Linked DNA regions of Arabidopsis thaliana. The protein of the gene in region 2 purifies or fractionates together with the protein of the main gene of each other region. This does not show direct contact. Each region holds a gene or a part of one and is shown on either strand. Other genes may lie near its edges. The genes, in order: AT2G43090 and GSH1.

The links.
Region 1: the proteins of GSH1 (region 2) and AT2G43090 fractionate together in Arabidopsis thaliana (co-fractionation; one large-scale study listed by BioGRID). This does not show direct contact.

What each region holds. Positions count from the first base shown.
Region 1 is NC_003071.7:17,914,122-17,924,836, reverse strand, and holds AT2G43090 (Aconitase/3-isopropylmalate dehydratase protein), read right to left. Parts: upstream 5,912-10,715; 5' UTR 5,881-5,911; coding exon 5,125-5,880; 3' UTR 5,113-5,124; intron 4,656-5,112; 3' UTR 4,341-4,655; downstream 1-4,340. Other genes in the region: AT2G43110 (U3 containing 90S pre-ribosomal complex subunit), read right to left, coding at 546-666, 753-866, 967-1,016, 1,923-1,995, 2,096-2,291, 2,458-2,770; IPMI2 (isopropylmalate isomerase 2), read right to left, coding at 3,382-4,152; AT-P4H-1 (P4H), read right to left, coding at 6,238-6,345, 6,436-6,528, 6,617-6,706, 6,955-7,006, 7,100-7,170, 7,263-7,337, 7,570-7,644, 7,914-7,979 and 4 more; SPPL3 (SIGNAL PEPTIDE PEPTIDASE-LIKE 3), read left to right, coding at 9,884-10,210, 10,344-10,502, 10,632-10,715. UniProt on the Arabidopsis thaliana protein: Catalyzes the isomerization between 2-isopropylmalate and 3-isopropylmalate, via the formation of 2-isopropylmaleate. Plays an essential role in leucine biosynthesis.
Region 2 is NC_003075.7:12,098,271-12,112,861, forward strand, and holds GSH1 (glutamate-cysteine ligase), read right to left. Parts: upstream 9,426-14,591; 5' UTR 8,855-9,425; intron 8,496-8,854; 5' UTR 8,482-8,495; coding exon 8,156-8,481; intron 7,986-8,155; coding exon 7,835-7,985; intron 7,666-7,834; coding exon 7,558-7,665; intron 7,481-7,557; coding exon 7,388-7,480; intron 7,209-7,387; coding exon 7,125-7,208; intron 7,006-7,124; coding exon 6,937-7,005; intron 6,847-6,936; coding exon 6,776-6,846; intron 6,692-6,775; coding exon 6,623-6,691; intron 6,369-6,622; coding exon 6,275-6,368; intron 6,149-6,274; coding exon 6,059-6,148; intron 5,968-6,058; coding exon 5,887-5,967; intron 5,793-5,886; coding exon 5,700-5,792; intron 5,614-5,699; coding exon 5,533-5,613; coding exon of another isoform or gene 5,509-5,532; exon of another isoform or gene 5,435-5,508; coding exon 5,365-5,434; intron 5,277-5,364; coding exon 5,188-5,276; 3' UTR 5,091-5,187; exon of another isoform or gene 4,829-5,090; intron 4,038-4,828; 3' UTR 3,865-4,037; downstream 1-3,864. Other genes in the region: AT4G23080 (transmembrane protein, putative (DUF239)), read left to right, coding at 166-534; AT4G23090 (uncharacterized protein), read right to left, coding at 2,121-2,237, 2,333-2,500, 2,582-2,704, 2,800-2,846, 2,922-2,980, 3,101-3,213; AT4G23110 (insulin-like growth factor binding protein), read left to right, coding at 12,674-13,120.

The DNA.
Region 1 (10,715 bases), on a different chromosome or scaffold from region 2:
AGAAAGTAAAACTAGAGTGGTACTAACACTCAATCTAAAACCTTACCTTTCTACTTTGTGCATGCTCTTTTTGGGCTTCCTTCACTCAACTTTTTAATTACAGTCACAAGTGAAAAGAAAGATGAAACAGACAATAAAACATTGCATACACAACTATACAAGGGAAATGAAAACAATAGTTCCGGACTGCATCAAAGGCATTTCCAGCAACTTCATCTTGCATCTTTTGTCTACTTTCTTTCTATAACCTGTTTAATGAAAAAGCTGGTAAGTTCCATTTCATTGAGCACTAACCCTGAATCTAAAGTAAGTAGTGTTATGACTTCATTTCAGCTCAGCAAATAGTGTTATGATGATTTGTGGTCTTCGACGTCCAATTATTTTTTTATGTGAAACATTACAAAGATATGGGATAATCAGCTCGAACAAAGAAATCTCATATCCTGGGTTATGTTAGAATTCTTTGTAAAATCTTGGAGATGAAAAAAGAGATTAGTATTAGATTTGTTTTTTAATTTTAAGAATTTGATACAATTAATAAACAGTTATTTCTTGTTCTTCTTCTTTAGGTTTGGAGAAGGCTTTGGACCATACATGCAGATACGAAGTCTTCCTTCTAGGACTCTCTGGTGGAAGCAGTTTTTATACAAATCCCAAAACTCATCTCTGCAAATATAACAGAACAAAAATCAGAAAAAATTCCACTCGTTGATGATAATGGGGCAGCTTGTTCAAGAGTTGAGAAACCAAACCTGACTTGAGGCAATGTGAATAAGGAAAATCCCTTGACATCTGGGTGCATGTCGATCACAATCATATCTAAACGCGAAAGCCCTAAAGCTTCTATGTCGACTAGCTTTTTGATCCTGCATAGAAGAGCAAGAGGACAGTCAGGATCTAGAGCAAGAAGGATATGGAGATACAAGTAAAGGGAAACAATGAAAGGATGTGATGAGATTTACTAACCTGTTTGGTGTGCCACTCCCAATATTAACCCGTTTCTTCAACAGAGATACCTGCAACACAATGAACTAGAGTTAATAATTCGAGTCATATAACAATGAGCTTGAGAAATTTATATAAAGATTTTCGGAAACCATTTCTTTTTTAAATGAGAGTTTCATATTTAGACCAAAGCAGAAGAATCTAATTCTATAGTCTTCTTATATGCAAATTAAGAAACAAAAACAAGAGCTGGAATCAGACTGACGTGCAAATAGTTCGTTCAGCATTGCATACGCCTCTGAAATATCGATATACTTATCATCATTTCCCAGACTCTTAACATGAAAGACAGACAGAGAGAGGGAAGAATAACATGAGTATATGCATAAATGCTTAATGATGGATATATAAAGGGATCAGACTGACGTGCAAATATATATTGTTCAGCATTGCAAGTGCCTATGACATATTGATATATCTTATCATCACTTCCCAAATCCTTAACATGAACTAAAAAAGAAAGAAATGAACTACATGAGTATGCACCAACTCTTAATGTTATATATATATAAAGGGATCAGACTGACGTGCAAATATATATCGTTCAGCATTGCATGTGCCTATGATATATTGATATATCTTATCATCACTTCCCAAATCCTTAACATTAACTAAAAATGAAAGAAACGAACTACATGAGCATGCACCAACTCCTAATGTTATATACATAATGGGATCAGACTGACGTGCAAATACATTTCATCCGCACAGCAATTAGCCTTAGAGATATCGTATTTTTGTCATCATATCCCAAGTTCCAGAGAAGCAAGAACAATGCATTCCACACAAGAGAACCAAAACAAGATTCAATAACGAAATAACTCAAAATGCCAGTTTCAATTTGTTCTCTCTTTTCTATGTGCTTAGAATTAAGTTCAGTTCTCTATAGACAAATCATTATAAGAATAAAACACTACCTGTTCCTCAACCTTCAAATGCTTTGAGAACAACTTCACTGCTGGACATTGCTTAGTCAATGAATGCAAACCCCTACATACATAAGACAGGACTCAGTCTAAGCAACTTTCTATTCAATCAAGCATTATATCAATCAATAACAAAGATACAAGTACACATATTTACAATGTACCTTAGAAGTTCCAAAGATCTCAGAGCAGAGGAACTAATAACAAGAACAGATGGGTTTCCCGGTTCAACTTTCCTTTCAAGTGACTCTCCTTCACAAAGAGTCTCTCTCCATGAAGACCCACAAGAAAGCTTTATATGTTCTCCCAAGTTGCTTACATCTTGATCCAACCCTTGAGATAACTCAACTATACACGTATCTGCAATTAAACCAGACAAATCTTAACTTCATCAGAACTTGGGAAATCTGTGCATTGATAAGTCGAATGAACAATCAAAGCTCGTATTTTTTTATATCTAAACCCAATAAGATATACTTAAACAGAAGTACATAAATACCAAGCTAGAATAAAACAAAGGACGAACCTTTAATGGGTTCAAGCTCTAAAGAAGAAACCTTGATACCAATGGCGGAGTCAAGATGATTCAAAAAGTAGTTGAGCTGCTCAGAGGCCGATACCGGTTCCGAATACAGTTGCTCGTCTTCGTCGTTGTCGGTTTTCTGGTCGTTACTTCTACTCTTCTCAATGGTCTTATCAAAGGTGGGAGCTTTCGACTTCTTAGTCTTCTTAGTAATCTTAGTCTTCTTCTTCTTCAAATCTTTCTTCGGACCATGTGATGGTCTTCGATTTCTTTTAGGGTTTTTAACGGCGGAGGGTTTTAGCTCTGTAGTTGCCATGTTTTTCAGAGTATACAAACAATGGAGAAGAAGAGCGGCGTTATAAAGTAGGAGTCGCAAATTTAGGTTTAGCGATGTCCTTTCTTTTACCGCTTAACGGTTATTTTATATCGGTTTGTTTAAACCGCCAAATTTTCAATAACCAAACCAAATTGGTTAGTAGAGTAAGTAAAATATGCCATGTACTACAATGAGAAAAGTTACCAACGGAATTATTACTTTTTTGCTAAAGGGTTTTCGTTGTAAATTTTCTGGGTTTACATGGTACTTACTTAACGGGCCAAACCCTACAGAAATGGGCCAACAATAAACTAAAACAAACTAAATTTACAAACAAAAGAAGACTAAGCCCAAAAAGGGAAATTGATGCCCAACTTGGAAGAAAATAAGGTTGCAACAACAATATTCGCATAATTTAGTAAACACTCACCATATTCACATATCTTGGAACATGTCGGTCTATTTTGCTTTTGATTTCTTATTCTTTAGGTAACAACAACAATACCAAATCAAACAAACATAAAAAAGTTAAGAAAATAGAAAACTCTAAAACACAAATATTCATCAAATAGTTATGCATACAAGAACACCATCATGGTTATGGAAGAGGATTAAGCTAATGATGGAATCATTCCCATCATCCTCGCATAAGCAAAAATACCACCAGCATCAATAACCGGTCCAGCATCACCGATCGACTTCAGCTTATAGTTTTTACCGGTCGTGTGATTAGTCAATAAACCACCACTATCACTCAGCTCGATCGTCACCGTATCTCCTGTCTTACACTCCTCACAGACTCTAACCTCTGACTCGAGCGGAAACACCTCTCCTGTAGCAACCGAGTTACGGAAAAAGATTCTTGCGTAAGACTCAGCAACTATGGCTTTAGCTCCAGCTGCTCCAAGACAGACCGGAGCATGTTCACGTGACGATCCGCAACCAAAGTTTTCGCCGCCGATTATGATTGAGTACTTTGATCTGTTCTCTCCTGGCTCAATGAACCGTGTTTTGTGGAAGTCTGGTAGACCAGAGAGAGCGTGAGCGGCGATCTCATCACGCTCTTGCTGGTTCGATGGGAAGGTGCAAGCGGCTCCTGCTGGGATGATCTGGTCGGTGTCTATGTTGTCTTTCAAGACATAGCAGAGGCCGTGGAAGGTTGTGTTGGCTAGGGCTTCGTTAGAGTCGGATTCTGAGGCGGCAGCACGTGGGATGATGGTCGGGGAGGATGTGCCACGTGAAGTGATGGAGATAGAGGAGGGGATTAAGGAAGTGGAACCATTGAATCTTAAGAAAGGAGATCGGAAGGTAGCCAAGGAGGAAGAAGTTTTGGTTGACGAGCAAGGTAAGGCTTGGGGAAATGTAGGAAGAGAATACGCCATTGTTTCTTTACTTTGTTGAGTGAGTGAGAGAGTTCACGATGAAAACAATTTAAAAGGAGAAATGTTTGTACCCTCCTATTTACGAAAGTGCCATTCAGAATTCCAAACGTGCGTTTTGATATACTTAGGTAGGTCACAGTGAAACAAAGACTCTAGATACGGATGCCTAAAAAGAAGTGTTAATATTTCTCTATACTATATGACAAAAGTGTGTTCGATCATTGTGTGAGAAAAACAGAGCTCCTGTTCTGTTCTCATGACCAGAAGATTATATTAGTGGAAGACATGAGAGAAAACGTCGTTTCAAATGGGATGGGAAACTATGCATTTTTTTAGCAGCTGATACATCCAAATGTAAACAAGAAACTGATACTGAAGACTAAAGCCGATAGTCATATATATTCATAAAACATAGATTAGGTTCATAAGCTTTTGGAAACATTACATATTCTTATTATTGGATCAAGATCCTTGAAGTGACTCTCATGCACTTCCATTGACACCTGCAAAACAAATAGAACAAAAAAAGGAAAAAAAAAAAGGAGTCTTAGAGACAAAATAAGAGTGAAGTATTGTTCTACTATCGGACACTCAAGTCTTAATGGATATGAGCATGGAAAAGATCAGCCAACATCATAACTTTTACCCTCCCAACAACTACAATCAAGAGATGTACAATCTAGAAATTGAACCAATGGAAAGATAAAGTAAGTCTTAAGCGAAGAGAAAGAATAACAAGTCATTATCAATCTCACACAAAAACTAAACCAACACATTTTAAACAACACAAAACTAGAATCCCAACTACTGTGTTCTCTTTCTCTAACTAGAACCATTGAAAACTATGTTTTGCATCGTTCAATTCAATGTCAAGCTTCCTAGACTATTCCACAAATTCGATCTCAATCCTAACCTATTACCAATCCTCATCATCATCATCATCAAGTTACAGAATCATACCTGAAGTCAAAATCAAGCAGCAGCAGATGGAATCATTCCAGCTTTCCTAGCATAAGCAAATATACCACCAGCATCAATCACTGGTCCAGCATCACCAATCGGCTTAAGCTTGTACTCTTTCCCAGTCGTATGATTGATCAAAATACTATCTCCTTCCCTCAACTCAACAGTCGCAACATCACCAGTTGTACACTCATCACAAACCCTAACTTCAGAATCCAAAGGATAAACCTCACCAGTAGCAACAGAGTTCCTGAAAAAGATTCTAGCATAAGACTGAGCCACCACTGCTTTAGCTCCCGCTGCTCCTAAACAAACCGGAGCATGTTCACGTGACGATCCACATCCAAAGTTTTCACCGCCAATGATGATTGAGTACTTCGTCTTCATCTCACCTGGCTGAACGAATCGTTCCTTGTAAGAAGCTGGAAGACCAACTAAAGCGTAAGAACCGAGTTTCTCGTATTCCTCTGGATTCGAAGGGACGAGAGTGAGAAACTCCGCGGGAATGATTTGGTCAGTGTCGATGTTGTCGCCGACGACATAGCACAGTCCATGGAAGGTTTTTCTTTCTTGTGGCTCGGCGGCGGAGCGAGTGACGAACGATGAGGATGCTTCTCGAGAAACTAGGGGTTTGAAATTGGAAGCGACGGATGTTGAATTGAATCTGAGAAATGGAGATCGGAAGGTGGCGAAGGAGGAAGGTTTGTTCGGAGAAGCTAGGGTTCGTGACAATGTAGGGTTTGCTGATTGCAGAGAAGCCGCCATTGTTTGTTTCTCTTTGCTGTGGTCAAGATTGAAGCAAGTCAACCAAAATGCGATTATAAATAGAGACTTTGTTCTTATTTACCAAAATGCCACTCTCCTTCGTTATTTCGGTGAAATGATAGTTAATTCTTTTGTAACAGTAATTGTTTTCTGTGTCAGTTATATGCTAACAGTAATTTAGAATTTGTTGGAGAGGTTAAAATGTAAAACACATTCATATTGATTTACGTATGTAAATGATAAATTCTAAAATTGAAGGGTCAAAAAGAGAGTAAATCAAAACTCTGAGATACTATGACATTTTTCAATATAAGTCCCTGTGGTTTCTTTTTGTTTTAAAAAGTTTTAAGTAGTTCTTCAAGAAGTAGCTTTTTGCCTCATCCATTTAGTAGCAGACCACTTTTCTCCAGACAGAACTTCACATCCTCCATGTATGCTCCTAGGATCTGACTGTCCGTCGAGTCCCTGAATAACACAAGAAGTAATTGAACTCAAAGCAGTCCAATTGATTCATGTTTGTGTAGAGACATAGAGAGAGAGATTGAAGAAACAAACCATGCTCCAGAAGAGAACTGCGTCTCCTTTGGTGGGTTTAACAGAGATGCCTTTCATGATTTTGCCACCACAGGTGCAATCACCATCACCAGCCTGCATTTCAAGTAGAGAGAGAGAGATATTACACCATTGGTTTATTTTGTTTTCTGAAATTTGCATGAACAGAGAGAAAGTGTTATACCAAAGGGAAATAAGTTTCTCCTCCTTCGACGTCATCAGTTAGATACATAAGCATAGTTGCTACGCGCTGACCACCACGCTTTAGATTGAACTGTGTAGCAACCATAAGAAAAGAAACGAGGAAATATGATGAACACCCACAATAAACGTACTTCCAAACTAAATGTTCTAAGATGATGAAGAAGGAGAAGATGAAGTACAGATCCAACTAAACATTATTGACCAAACCAAAAGTTAAATACTGTAGCCTCTTTTTAGTTTTTTTTTTAATCAGAGCAAAAGCTTTCTTTACCAATCTACTAATGATATATATATATGAAAACAGAACCAAAGACTTACAGTGTCAGCAAAGTAATCGTGATGTGGTTTGTAAAACTGCTGCGGCTCATATCTGCACTGCAGCAGATTTTGATTCATCAAAACAAGAAAAAAGCTTCGTTTACTTTAGATTTAAAAAATAGTAAGGTTGCGGTTGTGCACGCACCTTAGAACTTGAATAAGTTCTCCATTTTCCGCTGGTACTTGAGAAAAGACTGCAATTCGCTTTTCAATTGCCTAATAATAGCAAACGAAAAGGAATATAATTTACAAAATTGTAAAGTTGATCAAAATGGCACGCCTTTAAAAGATATGAGAGAGTGACTTACCTGTATTATTGGATAACTTCTTTCTACATGAGTTAGAAACATTCCGGAGCTTGTCCTCACGTCACTTTTAACTCCCTAAGCAAGAAGAAAGTGATAAGAAAATGGAAGAGTATGGTTAAGACTTTGAAAGCATAACTAGAATATGTCTACTATGGAAGAGAATGAATTAGACTTTGCAGGCAAACCTAGAGCGTTTCTATTTGTGTCCAATGTTTGATTGAAACAACTGAACAATCGAAGGCAGAGAGTGGATGTAATAGAAATTTTACTTCTTCTACAGAACTAAAAGGAAGGTATTGTCCAATACCTTTCCGGTTTTTACATCAACAACAGTGGAAACTTGAAGGCGAGGCCGGGCGATTGCTTTTAGGTATTCACATTCCTGCAAATATACATATCAGGAGAAACAAGAAAACTATTTTAATGGGAAGACAAAAAACAGCCAAAAGCTCTTTTGCTAATTCTTATGATAATACTTAGAACTGAGCCTAAGATTTTGCTTTTCTATCAAATCTTAGCTTATCCTTGCTAGAATAAAGATGATATGAACAAGTTTTTTCTCTACTTAAAGGCCTAACATCAGCAAGAACAGACTATTCTACAATCAGCTAACTCAATGAACTAGAATTTATTAGTGGGGGGTGTATATACCTCCGGACTGAGAAAGTCATGAAGCACAATAATTCGAGGGGACCAACTGACTACTTCAGGCTTGACCTGCACTAAAGAAAATAAACATTAGCTGGAAGCACACAAAACGGACCTAGATTTACAGAAGTAAAACAAAAAACGATACATGTGTGTGTAATTTTCATAGTTTCACAAAGAGATAGTATATTTAAGAAATGTGTCCGTACTACAAACAATTTAATTTTTCTCCTCCATGTACCAATTCTTCAACTGTAGAGGTATATAAATGAAATTTTTAGGCAACCATAGGCCCTAAGAAAAAAAAACAACTGCAAAATGGATACGATATACTTACATTGCCAATCCGTAACAATTCTGCATCTTTGTCATTTGCCCACCGGGAGACATCTGAAAATAAACAAGTCTTGCCATTAATCGATTCGGTATCATAACATGTCCACAAATCAAGCTCTATAAGAAGAGTCTTGTCATAAAGCCGAGATTCAAATAGTTAGAAAGAGACTATTATGTTAACAACCTAAATGCAAGCATAGTTTTGGATAGAAATGATCACACCAACCTCGTAGATAGCGGGTGTTCTGTCCTCGAAGTCCTCTTAGAGACGGAAATCCAGTTCCTGAATAAGAAGGAGAAAGAATTTAGAAATCAAAAGGACACCACAACAACAAAACAAGCAATAGAAAATCCAAAAGGGGATCATCTCTTCATTGTAGTAAGCATAAACTACAATCAAAATCCCTGATCTAGTCCTACGAATTCGTTGACATTGTAGTGCAATGTCCTCTCAATCCCTTGCTCAAGAGCTCAGATACCTATATTTGCAATTCTATCACCAAAGACACATCTACAAGTATAAATGAAGAAAATAAGAAAGAAAGAGGAGTTACCGTACGAATCTTCCAATCTATTAATAAAGGCCAATTGTAACAAGGAACCTGCAGATTCCAGGAACAAAAGAGAAACACAATCTCCATGAGTTTACGAAAGAGCCGTTTCAATTTCTCACAGAGTCAATTTGGCCGAGAGAAAACAAAAAAAAAGATATAAACTTTGAAGACCAAAATTAAAAATCAAATGTAGAGGACTATAAATAGAGAGAAAGTACCGATGACCATTCCGACAGTGACAAATGTCAAGAGACCGAAGACGATCTTCATGGCAGGAGCCATGTCTAGCTGATCTCGATCTCCGATCAAAATAAAATAAAAACTTGGGAGAGAGAGAGAGAGATCAGTAACAGTTGTTGTTGTTGCAGAAGGAAGAAAAAGAGAGGAGCTTGAGAGTTGAGAGAGATTTGGGTGGAGAAAAAACGTCAGAGGAGTTTCTTCTCAGAGATCTTCTCTTCTCTTTAAAAAAACAAAGGCCTTTTTCTTTCTTCTTTCCCTTCCTTTTTGTTTTAATTATTTTTTGAATATCCGTCATGGACTCTTTTTCTCTTTTTACTTTCTTTTTGGAAAAATATTCATCTTGTCAGAGTAAATTAAGGTACTAATTACAAAGGGAACCAAACAGAAAAAAAAAAACAAATTGTTTTGTAATTAGCTCAAAACGAAATTCAAAGGGAAAAGATTTTAAGTACAAACTGTAAATTTCTTGTAATTTTATATAACCAAGAAGGTGTTTCTCTCCTGAATTATTCGTTTTTCTTGATATTTCTATTGTTAAATAAACAGATAAATCGAGTTCATATAAATTAGTTATCTAAATAATTTAGTTTTTCTTGATAGTTATCAAATGAAGAACATTTAAACCGGCCGGTACGATGACATTTAGAATTTACAATCAAACTCCTCTACTTAACTGTTCTATTTGTTTGTTTGACATACTAGACAAGTCAAAATACATCGTGGGGATCTGAATTCTGCTCAAAATACTTTTGAAACCATTATATTTTACATAATGCGACATATATTAATTTATGATTTTTGATTAGTTGAGCAAAAAGAGCTGTCGTATATCATATAGTTTTAATGAATCACTCAAAAATTGGCACAATAGAAACAGTAAAAGAATTATTGAATTTAGAGGATAAAAAAGACTATAATATCGACCGTCCGATATATCCCAGAAAGATTTTAACAGCAACTCTTTGTCTCTTCTTCTTCTTCTTCTTCTTCTTCTCTCCGATTTGCTCAGTCGATTGCGTCATGTCGTCGTTTGATCCGCCGAATCACCGATATTCAGCCTTAGTACTTATTCTTCTCCTGCTTGGTTTTTCGGTAGCGGCGGCCGACGATGTATCGTGGACCGAAGATTCCAGCCTCGAGTCTCCTGGCTGTACCAATAAGTTTCAAATGGTGCATTCAATTTCTTATCTTTACTTCGTATCTAATCACTCTCTGGTTCAGTGGAGTTGATTGATCTAGTTTTCCTTCTCTCTCTCTCTTTGTTAATGAGATTCTATATTTGGTGGAAATGATCTTCATATAGGTAAAGGTCTTAAATTGGGTTGATGGTGTTGAAGGAGACTTCCTTACTGGCTTAACTGCTCAATTTGGAGCTGCCTTGCCTTCTGTTCCTGATCAAGCTCTTAGATTTCCTGCTGCTTTTGTAGATCCTTTGGACTCTTGTTCCCATCTCTCTTCCAGGGTCAGTTTCTCTTTTCTTCTTGCTTTTAGAATGAAGTCAATGGCTTCCACCATGTAATTTGGAAGTGCAAGCTGACTTTTTTTTTTGGCAATGTTCATTGATATCTTGTATTGACATTGTTTGTTCCAGTTAGATGGACATATTGCCTTGTCGATCCGTGGCAATTGTGCTTTCACTGAGAAGGCCAAACATGCTGAGGCAGCTGGTGCTTCT
Region 2 (14,591 bases):
AGTTGTTTTTGCTGATATTTAAAATTTGAGTATCCAAACATTGATAAGAATTGTTAGAAACAGTAATTGCATGTTTTAATTATGTGAATCGGTAAACGTAGGCATGCCAAGCTTTTGTCTATAATTTTAGTCTTTTTTATTTAATGTGGATTTTGTTGAGTACAGGACAAAGACAACGGAAATTGGTGGTTGTTGATGGGTACTGGCATATTATGGGAAAAAATTGGTGTCTGGCCAGCAAAGAGGTTCAAAGAAAGTTTTGGTACAGAGATCGAATGGGGTGGTGAAGTCCATAGCCCTTCGTCCCCAAGTCCTCCGATGGGTAATAGCCATTATCCGAAGGGGACCCCCAGACTAGACTCATATGTCCGTTTGATCACGACTTGGGACGAAAATTATAATGCCGACAATTTTGTGAAAAACACAGAGAGATATTCAGACGGTTGTTATAAAGTGGGAGATACAATATATATGCAAGATTCTTGGAGAAATGTAGGACATCTTATTGTTTATGGAGGCCCCAAGTGTAATTAAACTTCCATAGTGCTTACCATTATTATAAAATTGTAATGTCTGAACATGATCAGAAGAAAGCAAGAGAATAAATTTCTTAGTATGAAAAAAAAATAATAGAAAAAGAAATTTAAGAGAAATTTAAAGAACATCCTCATATATTTTTATTTAACTTGTTTGACTTGGTTAGAAAGAGGAAGAAAGAAGAACTCTTTATATGTTCCAAGTTTAGAAAATATTGTATTTCTTATATCATCATCTTTAGGAAATTCCACTACACATTACCTAATTTTTTTATCTTACAAAAATCTAAACTTTTTTTTATTTAGATATAACACTGTTAAGTACTTTAGAATTTTTTTAGAACTTAGACTTAATTTTGTTTCTGGTTGAGCTTATAGTCCAAAGTCAAGTTTCATTTCACTACCCCATTATTTGAGGTCATATCTTACACGAATATGCTCAATAGTCTACATGCACTTTAGCATGTGTGTGGTTGTAATAATGCTCATTTAATGGGATCGATTTGTAAGAAAACTAACTAATAAAACCAATGAAATATTAAGTTTTGTGTTCGATGAAATTGTGTGATTTTGATATTGTCTGAGTAATATAAGTTTATGTGATTTTGTTGTCACTAGTGATGTTAAACTAGGCCTTAAGCATGCGGGTCCAAACATGTAATTATGAAACTTCAAACCAACAGTAACACTTGGTTGTAAAAACGTTTTTTTTTTTGTTTTAATTGAATAAAATTTCATATTCATTTAGAAAGAAATAACTTATCACGTTGAAGAGGAAGTGTCTTCTTGGTAAGTTGGGTGGGCTGTGAACTTCGGTTTCACAAATGACAATTTGCCAAGCGAAGATCATAAGCCCTTAGACATAAAAGAGCACTGCCAGCAAATAATAAGTGACGTAATGTTAATGATTGAAAGTTCTATTTGATCAAAAAACAGGGAGCGGCCATCTATTTATTTTTACTTGGTTTAGCATTGTAAAGATCATTTTTAAAGAATTTGATATTATTTTTGATTAAAAATCTTATACCATTGGGTTTGAAATATTAACAAGACTACAAGAGTCTAACACATCCCATTATAAATCAATCTTTTTCTTCTTCTTCCAGGTATTGTACACTATAGAGAACTTGTTCTGTAATCAATATTCTGAAAATCTCTTATGTAGCATATATAGTTTCTTTCGCTTCCGTAAGTTCCTATTGTTAATTTGGTATGGATACTATATCCTATATTTTAGATTTTAATTCTCGCTGCAAATGCTCAATGAAATGCAGGTTGATGTTAAACTGCTCCAAGAATCCAATCAAAAAGGTATTGTAATCTAGTAGCTAGCAAAAGCATTAAACGTAACTTTCCCAAGTTGTTGATGACAAAGATTCCCAAGTCATCAACCGTATTAGTTTCCCATACCACATCTCATCTCAACATCAAGGTAATATTATTATTTTTATTGATTTATTAGTCAAATATGAGAAAGCAAACAACTATGTTTTATATCATTCTGTAAGTAATAATAAGTTGTTGCTTCCTATTACTTATTCTGTTTTTGCAGCCATCTCTAGGTTAAATTTTATAGAGTATCTATTATCCAGCAGGTGCTTGTGCTAATGCTACTCCATTAACTCGTACCCGTTCTCTCGGTGCACCTGGTGCATCCGGTTGAAATATTGACCCCGGTCCGCAAACAAAAAAAACATCCACCTACAATGTGTTTCAAGAAGTATTGAGAGTTTTTGGTATCAATAAATCTAAAAGAATCTATTGAGATATATAATGGTAAAAAGAGTCAACAACACCTCAACATCTCCGAAAGCAAAAAGTTGATATGCAATAGCAACACTTGGTGAAACACCTGAAAGGGAGACGTGAAGTATTCCGTTGGGACGACTAGAATGTACAGCAACACCTACATCAGTGAGCATCGGTTGGAACCATCCACTCAAGTAAAGTATTCTCCCAATACCCTATATATAGCCAAGCAGAATCAGAGAAACAATTGGAAACTAAAAAAGCTTCTATTGAATGATTAAGACTAAAACACTTACCATGCGGTTTCCTCGGATTGGTAACGACACCAAGTTGGCTCGTGAAACGCATCCCCTCCCTGACAAGATGTAGACTGCCTGACGAGAAGCCCTAGAAATATATGCCAGTACACTGACAATTTCCTGTTGGTCGAGGTTCAAAACATCTCTTTTAGAAAACTCAAGAGGAGAAGAAGTTGTATGGAAACAGAACTAATGGAGGAAAATAAACTACTTACGGCTCCATGCGGGATCACTAGGATTCTGCGTGCGGTGGGTGGTGACACTACAAAGAGGTGAAAATGACATTTTCAAGATCCCTCAAAGAAACCCTAATTTTGAAGATTGGAAATATACTTACGAGGAGGCGGCATATTACCCAATTGAATCACCTGCTCTCCTTGGCCATTACCATTTTCTCTGTGATGATTGAAGAAAAAGAGATCATTATATATATTGTTTAGATTCAAGACTCCAAGATTGATAAATACAAGAAAATATAAATTGTAAATAAGAAAGAAGAAGAAGAAGAAAACAGACGTTGTTGGCTGATCCACTGTAATCGAAGAGTTCTCGCTCATGTTTTTCCAAATCGTTAACTTAAGCGGAAAGAAAGAAATTGAAGTATGGAGGAATGTTGCCTCAATCGGCATTTATAAGTAAATCAATCAAAAGTAGAAACAGTGAGAAGGGGAAATATATTTAGGCTAGTGAAGAAACTAATTAAAGAGTTGCTTTCTAATTTTCTACACAATAAATATTTTGCACGGATGCAAATTTGACTATCCTTTGTTTGACTGTTTTCATAGTATATCTGAGAAAATGTTCAACCTAATAAATATTTAGAAGTCAAATAAGTTTTTATCCAATTCTATTAATAGGAAAACGGATGACAACCTCCTGGATCATTTCTTAGTATTTGTCATCACTCTTCCCCTGAATCATTGATCAACCTGACAACCTCTATACCAATTCAAAAGATTGTCTCCCATTTGAACTAATATTTTCATATACATGAAAAATCCTATTACTGTAGCCAAGGCACTTTTGAAGCTAATGATCAGGTAGGAGAAGTGATTTCAACCCACTGTTGTAATACATGATTGCATAATCAAAACCAATCTATGGAATCCACATTTGAAATATTTTGGCCCGTTTTAAAATATTTTTTTGGTAACGTTTTTTAACGGATTTTTGATTTCTGCAAATTTTGGCGCGCTTTCCACTTTCAAACTGAATTTTTGAAAGAATCTAAATGGCATGCGATCATAATTAACACTTTTTAAGATGTAAGATCCTTCATATTTCATAACCATAATTAATTTGATAGACAATAAATGATTGCATAATGTTCCACTGTTGTGATAGATGATTGCATAATCAAAACCAATCTATGGGACAAAGCCACATTTGAATTATTTTACAGATCTATACGACATATTCGAACTTAAAAAAAAAACAATAAAAACAAACAAAACTCAGTCGTTTTTAAAGCCAGTCGCTAGTTATAGTCGCAGCGACACTTAAACGAACCGGCCCGAAGTCTCTCATAAAAATTGCGATTGCGTTTACATGTTTACCTAATATATTAAATTCCAATTTAAATGAAAGAAATCAATTTTAATCAATTTCCTTTTTAGCAAATTGTTTTGATTTTTTATTTTTTTTTGGTTGCCATAGACGACATTTGTTAGGTTGTTTCAAATATTGGACTTAAATTTTAAAATTGAAAACAAGCAAGGTTATGTGAAAAAGCAATTGGTTTACAGTTTAAGGTTTAGGAAAAATAAGACTAGAAGCAGATTAAAAACATTTGATCTCAAAAACTAGAAACGTGCCAAATTAAAGTATCAACGAAATACATGGAGATTTTAAAAATTATGATCTCTTATGTAGATTACAGTTTTAACGGACATAAAAACGTTGACGTAACATACATGAATGAAAGGTGGGTATATTAATTAGGTAAGGCAGTGTGTGGACTGTGGAGACTCGGTTTTTCTCACTCTCATCAGTCATCACTCATCATTTTGTAGGGACGCCTTGGTAGGGTTTACATATTATCCTGTCACCTAAGTGCCACTATCTTCTTGTTTTACGATAATTACCGACGGCCAGGATCATCGTGTTGTAATCAGTTTAGTTTACGCGGAGTCTGGTGGATTCAATTATGAAAGCAGTGTTCTTCACTAGCCAAAACCTATTAAAGGAAAAGCTCGTAAATGTCTACATCGAAGATGCTCTCCCATTTAGAAAAAAACATACATTGCCAAATTACTAAACATCAAAACTTTCCACTACACAGCCTAGATTATCCCATCCGTCGCCTTTGCCTTGAAATCAGTTTTGAGTTATTTCGTTAAATGTAGACAAATTTGTGACAAGAAAAATGGGTAATTTATTCAAGATCCAAACACACCCTCCCAAACGATTTCCCACACCGAAATCGTTTAGTACATACAATTTTTCTTCTGCTTTTCAATGCTTCGAATTTCTAAAACAAAATCAGTTTTTAAAATCCGATTACAACAAAAAAAAAAATCCTTATTCCGGAGACTCGAATTCTTCAGATAGCATAAACTCACACCCAAAGGTTTATAGACACCTTTTGTTCACGTCCCATTTTCTTAGTACAGCAGCTCTTCGAACACGGGATCTACGCTTTGTCCCCATTCTCCATTGTACATCTCCAAGAGCTTCTCCGCAGGCGTAACTCCTGTCATTTCAAAACCAAATTTCACCACCAGGTTATCAAACAAAATGTCGGTGTGGAATTCAATTATGCATTAGGAAACTTCATTTACCTGTTCTGACCACTTCATCGACTGCGTTCAAGAAACCGGCTTCCTTGTAGCCTCTGCGCTCTAAACCATCCTGAGAAACAAAGAGAAAATAAGTCCAATAGTTAGAAGCTGGACCAGACGGGATAGAAAGCTGGCTCGAAGTTTCTAAGAGGGTTCATACAAACACACCTTTGCGAGTTTCAGGACATCTTCAGCGACATGCTTTAACAAACCATCCCTAAAAGGAGTCTTTAAGCCAGTAACTGGGACCTGTTGGAAATCAAGTATTAGTTTATTACAAGATGTTTTCTAACTGTGGAATAAGAAAATGTAAATGTGGTGCGTCTTGTTATTACTTTGTTCCTTAGCATCTCTCTCTCTGCTGGAGTCCAGTCAGCTGTCAGATCCAGGATAGCTTGGAGACTATCATCATCATATAATAAACCCACCTGAAATTTGTAGATAAAATCAAAACAACAGTCAATACTTTTTGAAACATTCTCATTAAGCACGAAATATATATGTGCTAATAGATGTAGTTACCCAGAAAGCTGGCAGGGCACACAGCCTCCTCCAGGGACCTCCATCAGCACCTCTCATCTCCAAGTATCTCTTCAACCGAACCTAGTGTTATGGAACGTTGTCAGACTTCAACATAAGACAGGGAAATGAAAGTCATAGGCTGATTGAAAGACTCTTGAGGCAGATGATTAACCTCTGGGAATATTGTTGTCAGATGGTTTTCCCAATCATTATATGAAGGCAGTTCACCAGGGAGACAGGGAAGTTTTCCAGCCAAGAATTGCTGCAGCATGAAGAATATTATGAGATTAGATATAATTCAAGAAGATCCCATGGTTTTCAATTTGCCAATTCCTTGCAATGAAACAGTTATAGAACCTAACAGAAAAGATTAAGGATAGATTTTGACCCGAAATGTCATTCCAGTACAGTCGATGTATTTGTTCTTTCTGTAGGCAAAGTACATAGGGACATCGAGTGCGTAGTCAACATACTGCTCAAACCTATACCAGATAAGAACAAAAGAGAGCAATAAAATTAAGATTAGCCATGCTGTTTCAAGAGAAGGATAAAGATCCAAAGCATCTTTCTATCTTGAACACAAACATATGTAAGAAAATCCACAGAATAGCACATATCAATTTTCCAATAACTCATCAAGAATGCGAGACAGAGTCATTGGTTTTTGAGAAGCTTCTCATACCAAACCAACCAATGTAATGTAATTGTTTTTCATAGATTAAACATCGATACTCACCCAAAAGAGTCATCGAAAACAAATGGTAGCATTCCTGTGCGGTCCTTGTCAGTGTCTGTCCATATGTGGCTGTCAAAACATACCAGAGTTATAAGGTGGGAGGGAAACTAATTCAAAAAGATATCGGGGATCATAACAACTGAATCTAGATACCTTCTCATGCTGAGAAATCCGTTTGGCTTTCCTTCTGTAAAAGGGGAATTCGCAAATAGAGCCGTTGCTATCTGTTGAATTTAGATAATAGTGAGGCAATGGTTAGTCAAAATCGTTAATAAAAGTTTCTGGTTATGCCACAAAGAGATCGAGCTTCTCACAGGTTGTAAAGCAAGACCAGCACGAAACTTCCTGATCATATCAGCTTCTGAGCTAAAATCCAGATTAACCTGTCAAGATTGCAAGTAATGCAGTTTCTATAAGTTTCAAAATAAGATTATTGATGAGAACTGGAAAGTTTAGTTTAAGGAAATTATGAAAAGGCGCAAAGTCAGAATATTAATCTAACCTGAACAGTACACGTTCGGAGCATCATATCAAGACCAAGGGTACCAACTTTCGGCATGTAGTTTCTCATAATGTCGTATCTCCCCTGCACAGAACACATTACACTATGTCAAATCTTACTGCCTGACTCGTCATAGGAAAACTTAACACAAACACCAAGAAATAATCCGAACGTTGGCTATGTAGAATCAGATAATATTATCTGAATTAGAAACAAACAGATGTTAACTTTCTTCAATCTTAAGAATAGAGAAAGCGTCATACCTTTGGCATGATGGGTATATCCTCCCGACGCCATTTGGGCTGGAAGCCAATTCCTAAGAAACCAATTCCCATTTCCTCAGCAACTGCTTTTACCTGTGACATCCGTAGATAGTTGGTTATTTGTCACGTTTTAGGGTGAGAGCATTGGCAATAATTATCTTTGAAATTACCTGATAAAGATGTGAATTGACTTCAGCACAAGTTTGATGCAAAGTCTCAAGAGGTGCACCACTAAGCTCGAACTGACCCCCAGGTTCAAGTGAAATGCTTTGCTTTCCCTGGTCAACAAAAGGACAGAACGAGTTATCTACAGCAAAAAAAAAAAAAAGACTGAAACCTTATAATATACCGATCATTGTGTTGTATATGAAGCTAACATGTTCTACAGGCTGAAAATGTATATAAATAATAAACGGCTCAAAAGATGAAACACAGGAGAATGTTAACCTGCTTCAGACCAATGATCTTGTCACCTTCCATTACTTTTTCCCATTCAAATCTTTCAGCGATACCATTAAGAAGCTCGGCTATTTGATCATACTTCATAGGGCGCAAAGTATTGACCTCAAAACCAAATTTCTCATGTTCTGTACCTATTCTGAAAACTCACAATGTTAAGTTAGCAAAACAGAATATTTCTCCAATAGACAAACAATCTGGATGAATTCAAACAATACCAACACCGTAAAAGAGCACAAACAAAGAAATATGTCACAATTACAAACACTAAGTAGCATTTTAACAGAACATATAAGCATCAAACTGTACCTATATTTGTCCTTTGTTTTGCATCCAGAGGCAAGATAGGCAATGAGATCCTCTCTCGTCAACGGCTCAGTTGCAACTACAGCCTCTTCCGTTGGAGGACTTGCCGCAACAATCAATTGATGCCCTCTCTTACTCCTCTTAACAGAATGGAGAAGCATTGATTTGGTAGATAGACTCCTAGAGTAGGAGCTACCAAAAGCTTCTTTCATCCTCAAAACATCCAAATTCCTCACGCCACCCGAAACAACAGCTTTAGTTCCAGCCTTTGAACAAACTCCAGAAGGAACAACAGTGTATGATCCTCCTGCTTGAGACAAGAGCGCCATGGTATATATAGCTCCTGCAATTATAACAATTCATCATAAGCTATGAGAAATCACAAATAACTGCATTTTTCTCAATTCTAATAACATATATCACATAATTAGAATCAGCAGCTACCACAGAATTGAACTATCATCTGGAAGAACAAATCAAAATTCGTGTATCACCAAACCAGAAACAACAACAACAACAAAAATCAAATCAAAGCAAAAATCTGCAAAAATTCGACTCTAACAAAACCAAAATCATGCAACAGCCAAAAAAAAATCATGAGAAAAAGCGAAGATTCAACCAAAAAAAAAAAAGCAGAACAAATCAATCAAAAACCAAAATCCACAAGTCCAGAAAGCGAAGAAGAAGAGAAGCAAATCACACCTGAAATTCGTCAAGCTTGACGGAGATTGAGAGACACCGTCGAAATCAAGAAGAAAGCTTAAAGAGCAAAAACGAATCGGCGTTTCAAATTTATATGCGACTGAGAGAGAAATGAGAAACTGATAAAAAAATGAAAGAAAGTTGATCAGTGGAGCATGAGCCGATCAGTGGAGCTGAGCTGTCTATAAAAGAAAGTTGATAAAATTAATAATCATTGTAATAAAAGATTCTTTCGTTTTTTGCCTCTTACTTTTCCATTTCTCACAAATTTAACCCTAATAGTTTTTTAAATAACCAGTTTATTAGTAGTTTAAACAAAGGTTAACTTTATAGTGTGTATAATGAATTAATGATATTTCTATTCTTTATAGTATACTTTAAACGAGGTTTAACTTTACGATATTTAATTTAGAACGTAAAATAATGAAAAGTGTGTCACTAACCAACCACATGACCTCAGATAAAATACTCTATAGGAAAAGAAATATATATACTACTATAAAAAACAGTATCATTATCTATTTGGTTTGATTGTGTCGACAAAAAAATCTTGGTTCTGATGAACGAAAATTGGCGTTATGTTTTTATATTTCCTACTTCTTAGTAGGTGGAATCAAATCCTGCTTTTATAATCAACAATTTAATGATACAAAAACATGTGAATGGTAGATAATGAATCACCATCAAAAGTTCTACTTGTGTATAATAATATATATAGATACGGGATGGATTTGACAATATCCCAATTATAACAATGGAAGGCTATTTGTCTATATTGTTCATGGAATAGTATGGTACCATGGTGGTCATTTACCTTATTTTTAGAAATAACTGTATTTTTAGTAGTAAACACAATTATGGCTATATATCACCTAATTTCTCTATCTGAGTTTGATTTTGTATTCGTGACAAAATCATAGTAAAACAAGTTTAGAAATTTTGTTTACTATTTGGTAATCTACAAAATCCTTCAAATTCCATGGTATTTTTCACATACTTTCGAGAATTTGGTTTTCTCAAAATGAGAAAAACTAATTATTGTGTTAAGTTTTTTTTTTTTTTTTTTTTTGAATGTTATAACACATTTGAGTTTTGTTATAATTTAAAATCTTAAAATTCGAGCTTCGTTCTAATTTCATTATATCGCACAGATTGACTCTATCTTTTTTTTTTTTTTTAATTGACTCTATTCAAATTTTACTACAAGATCCATTATTGTGTTACATATCGATACTCCTATGAATTATGAAGCTGTGCTAAAAAAACATGTGGCATTAGTAATTTATTTATTTGATATCAATTATGGCTGCCATTGAAAAACAAATAGATGCAGAATTGCTTGCGTTTGCATATACGTAACGTAAGTAAAAACTAAAAACTCTTGTAGCGACAAAAATAGAAAAACAAAAAAAACTCTTGTAATTGTGCACTTCTATGTTGTATGTTTAAATTAATATCAAATATATTTTATCGAACACATGAATGAATAAGTTATAAGAAGGTAAGGTAGGTGGACACGTGCGTGACTCAAAAATGGCGGCCATGACTTCTAATCTCCACACCACCAAAGCCTTAAACGGAACCCACCTCCACAGTTTCTTCCTATACATTCGTCACTCACAAGTCACACCGTTTCAACTTTCACGAAAACTTATCTAAAAAATAATAATTAACATTTGACATAATGGAAAATCACATTAATATATAGCCGTCAAAGAGTGAAGTCAGAAATCCTAAAACGATACGGAATTAAGCTGGAGTGTGCTATGCAGACTCTTTCAGTTAATCTTTTCCTTTATATTCCAACCTTAACGTTTTCTAATATCCACGAGAAACCCTAAACTTTCGATTTCACATTAAAGACCCCAATCCTCAGCACAAAGTAACTAAATGCATCAGACATAGTAGCTAGCTATTTGCGCTTATAATGATTTGAAGTTACCAAAAGATTTTCTTCCTAGGGATTAAGAGAAAAGTAACATCTGGGATTGTCATGGCAAGCCCAACTCATAAGTCTCACCGAAGCCCAACTACACATATTCTTAATATGGCCGAAGAGGTAGATGATACACAATCTTGAAAAGTTGTTCTAAGTGGCTGTTGGTGTTGGATTCTCACATTTGAACTCGGCCTATTCAAGGCCCATAAAGAAAGCTTATATAGGTAACATCGAGCTACAACATTCCGGAGCTTCATGACTCTCACCAGGCCCAAGTCACATCAGTTTAGCTCGTGATGGCCCTATACAGTTTGAGCAAGTCAAAATAAAACGGGCATATCTAACAAATTAAAAAGGAAACGTTAAATTGGTAGACATCGAGATGGGGACGTTATGATTTGCATGGATTGACTAAGGAGGTCGTATAGACCAGGGTCACTTCTTTCTAGAAAACAAGCTAGAAAATAGATCAAGAGCCTTTTTTAATTCCAATCTTTTATCTTTGTAAATCAGTTCGATTTTCATACTAATCGACTGATATTAACCTCGATTCTTTCTCATGATTTAAAACCACCATAATGGATATTGACATCGACAGTGACGTAACTCAGTGTGTACCGATAAAAAGATTGTACTACAAGAGTGAGGGCCGGGGCATATTCAACAGCCGAAAGAATGAAAATCAATCAAAACTTTAAGAGATTATGTGTCATATACTCATATTATGTGAAATCCATCTCAAGACAGTTCATCGTTCATTTGTTCTAACTTCTAAGACATATTTTAAAAGCTTTATTGGTTTTGTCTTATAATTTAGATTTAAAATTATTCTCTTATTGTTGAGTTTCTAGTTTTTCTTTTTATGCTTCTATGACTAGAAATACTTTACTTATAAGTTAAAATATATATTTTTAAAATATAATTCGAATTCATTGAACTAAGACAATTGTTAAACTTGTTCGTTTAGGTTAAATGGTTAAAGAGATATTTGTCTGATCATAGAAGAATAAAAGGGAAACAATGACTATATAAGGAGTTTAAAAAAAAAATGTAATTTGAAGATAAAAACGAAAAAAATAAATAAATTAATGTCTTGAAATGTATTTTATATAATAAGATAAAAAAATTCATTTGATCTCCATAATCCTTATTTAGATAAAAACAATAATGAAAAAATCATTTTTATTAAAAAATACCAAATTAAAAAACAATCATATAAAGAAAAATCTTATTTTCTTTGTTTAAAAAATCTAATACCATATACATTTACTGCCAAAATCTTTTCCTAACAAAGTGTTTACAAAATTATTATATTCAAATGTTTGGTAGCTAATGTTTATAATTCTAAAGTATAAAAAGGTAAGATATCTGACTACAAAATCTTTTCCTAATTAAGTATTGTAGACGGATTTTTTACCCTTTTTTACTTTTGACTTAATAAATAATTATGAAGAATTTTTTTTTTCAATTAGATAATTAAATTAGTTAATAATTTGTAAGAATTGAATCTTTGAACTCTATCATACAAAGTTAAACTATTAAAAATAAATTTTACAAAAATTATTGTATCGCACCAAATTTTAAATAGAAAAAATTAGTTTAGAGACTTCTGATTCGGTCCAACAAACGGTACGATTTAAAATTACAACATTAATCTAATATCTTTCTTTTTCGTATTTTAGGAGCGAAACAAAGACAAAAATTTAAAGCTGTTACCATCCAATTTGAGGGTTGTAAAAGCAAGGAGAAAAATCTATATATCTAGAGTCCTCCAAAGACACTTATAAGTTCTCACACACAATCTTTTATCTTTCATTGTTTCTCTCACTCTCTCTTGTTGTGAATTCTTTCCTTTGATCTTTCAGGTTTGCAAGTTCCAAATGGGGAAAAAATCTAAGCCGTTTATATTATCATCAGATGCACCTAAGCCCCCTCATAGGCAGCCTTACAAAGCTCTTCTGATAAGCGCTCAGTCATCTAAAGTGAATTCAACAGATGGTGAAGCAACTGGTTCGCAAATGAAGCCGCGGAAACAAAGAAAAGCCCCTTACAAAGCTCTTCTCATTAGAGCTCGATCACCAGGACTAAGTGAGGAAAGCTCTTCGGAGAGTGACTTTTCCTATGAAGCGGATTGTGAAGCATCCGATTCATCATCAGCGGAGAGTGAAGCAACCAATATGAAGCCGATGAAGAACAAAACTGCGAGAAAAGCTCCAGAAGCGAGGCTAGCAGACAAAGAGCAAAACAAGAGGAGAAGGATCTCAGAGAAGAACAATAATCCTGAAGAAACCATGTCCTGGGAACCAGAAGTTAAAAAGACTCTTTGAAAGAAGATTTCGACAGAAGAAGCATAAAGCAAGGCTAAGGAGAAACCATGATCTCATGTTCTAAAATTGTAGTTCGATCTTATCTTTTATTTTCTTAATTCTGATTTTTAATTTTGTGTTCTATCATAAACATTATCATCTTGCTGAGAATTTTAATCCAATATTTTCTTTTGAGCCTTCATCGTCTTTGATTCCAAGTGTTGTTAGTGTACCAATGAGATTTGGATTCTCTTTCTTTCTTTATTAAAAAGTTCCATCCATATACAAACGATGCATGTTGAGAACATACGTTTTTTTTATTTGAAGTGATTAATGGCTAAGTTAATTAGATGGCTGGAGTTTGTTACAGTGGATAAGAAGAGGCTTAAGCTAAACCACTTAATTTATTCATTAACTTGTAAATGTACATAGAATACTTTTTTTTTTTTTAGTTTTTATCCTTTGTCTTAACATTTACTTTTTTTTTTGTTTGATTATCGAAAATCCGTCATAAGAGGTCCATGTAACCTACAATTAAATATTGAAGCTATAGAGTGAACATCAACACATGATTTTGTATAGGAAAGTTGAAGATGTCAATGAAAAAAATCTTGACCCATATTAAATCTATTTCACATATTCAAAATTTCCAACCAATATTAAACTTTAAGATTCAGAAACCTAAAGATTTTCTCCGAATTCTCTTTATTGAAGATAGTTTCAAATTCCTTCACCAACTCTCTCACAAACCCTAGAAATGTGAGAAAATTTCTTGAACGTCCATTCTTAAAATTCAGCTTTAACACGTGAGTTAACCATTTGTGTCGTTTTATTGTAAAACTGGCATTTAAGGGGTAGATTTTGTATATTTTAATAGACATTATTAATATTGGCAGATGACAGTTCATAGATTTCAAAACTAGGAAAAAAGAAAATTAGTGGTTTTGTCCCTATATAGGTTTCCTTTTATTGCTATTAAAACGAAATATCTAAAATTATATATATATATATATATTATTGATTTCAAAACTTTTTTTCTTTTTTCTTCTTCTTTTTTTACCTCTTTAAATTTAAAAGTAAAAAAAAAACATATTTATCCTAAGAACTAATTAGACTAGAGATATGATTATTAAAACCAATTAATTAAAAACAAAAAGGTTCAGAAAAACATTACAGAAATCATATTAAATATGGCTATCTATCTGTAAAACGAAGCTAAGACATATCCAAAATTTGCACAAAAAGACATATTTCAGACGTTAAGGAGCTTTCTGTTGGTAATTTTTTCTAGTGTTTTTGGGATTTACCTTACCAACCCCATATTGATTACTAGATATTGTACATGTATTTGTTATGATTAAAGTGTATGTGTGGATGAAAGTTTAAAATCCGTTATAGATAGATATATTTGTAGGTTATTTGTTTTATCCCGTTACTTGCTAAAAATATTTAACTGCCGAGACGACTTACTACATAGTTTTTTTTTTTGTCA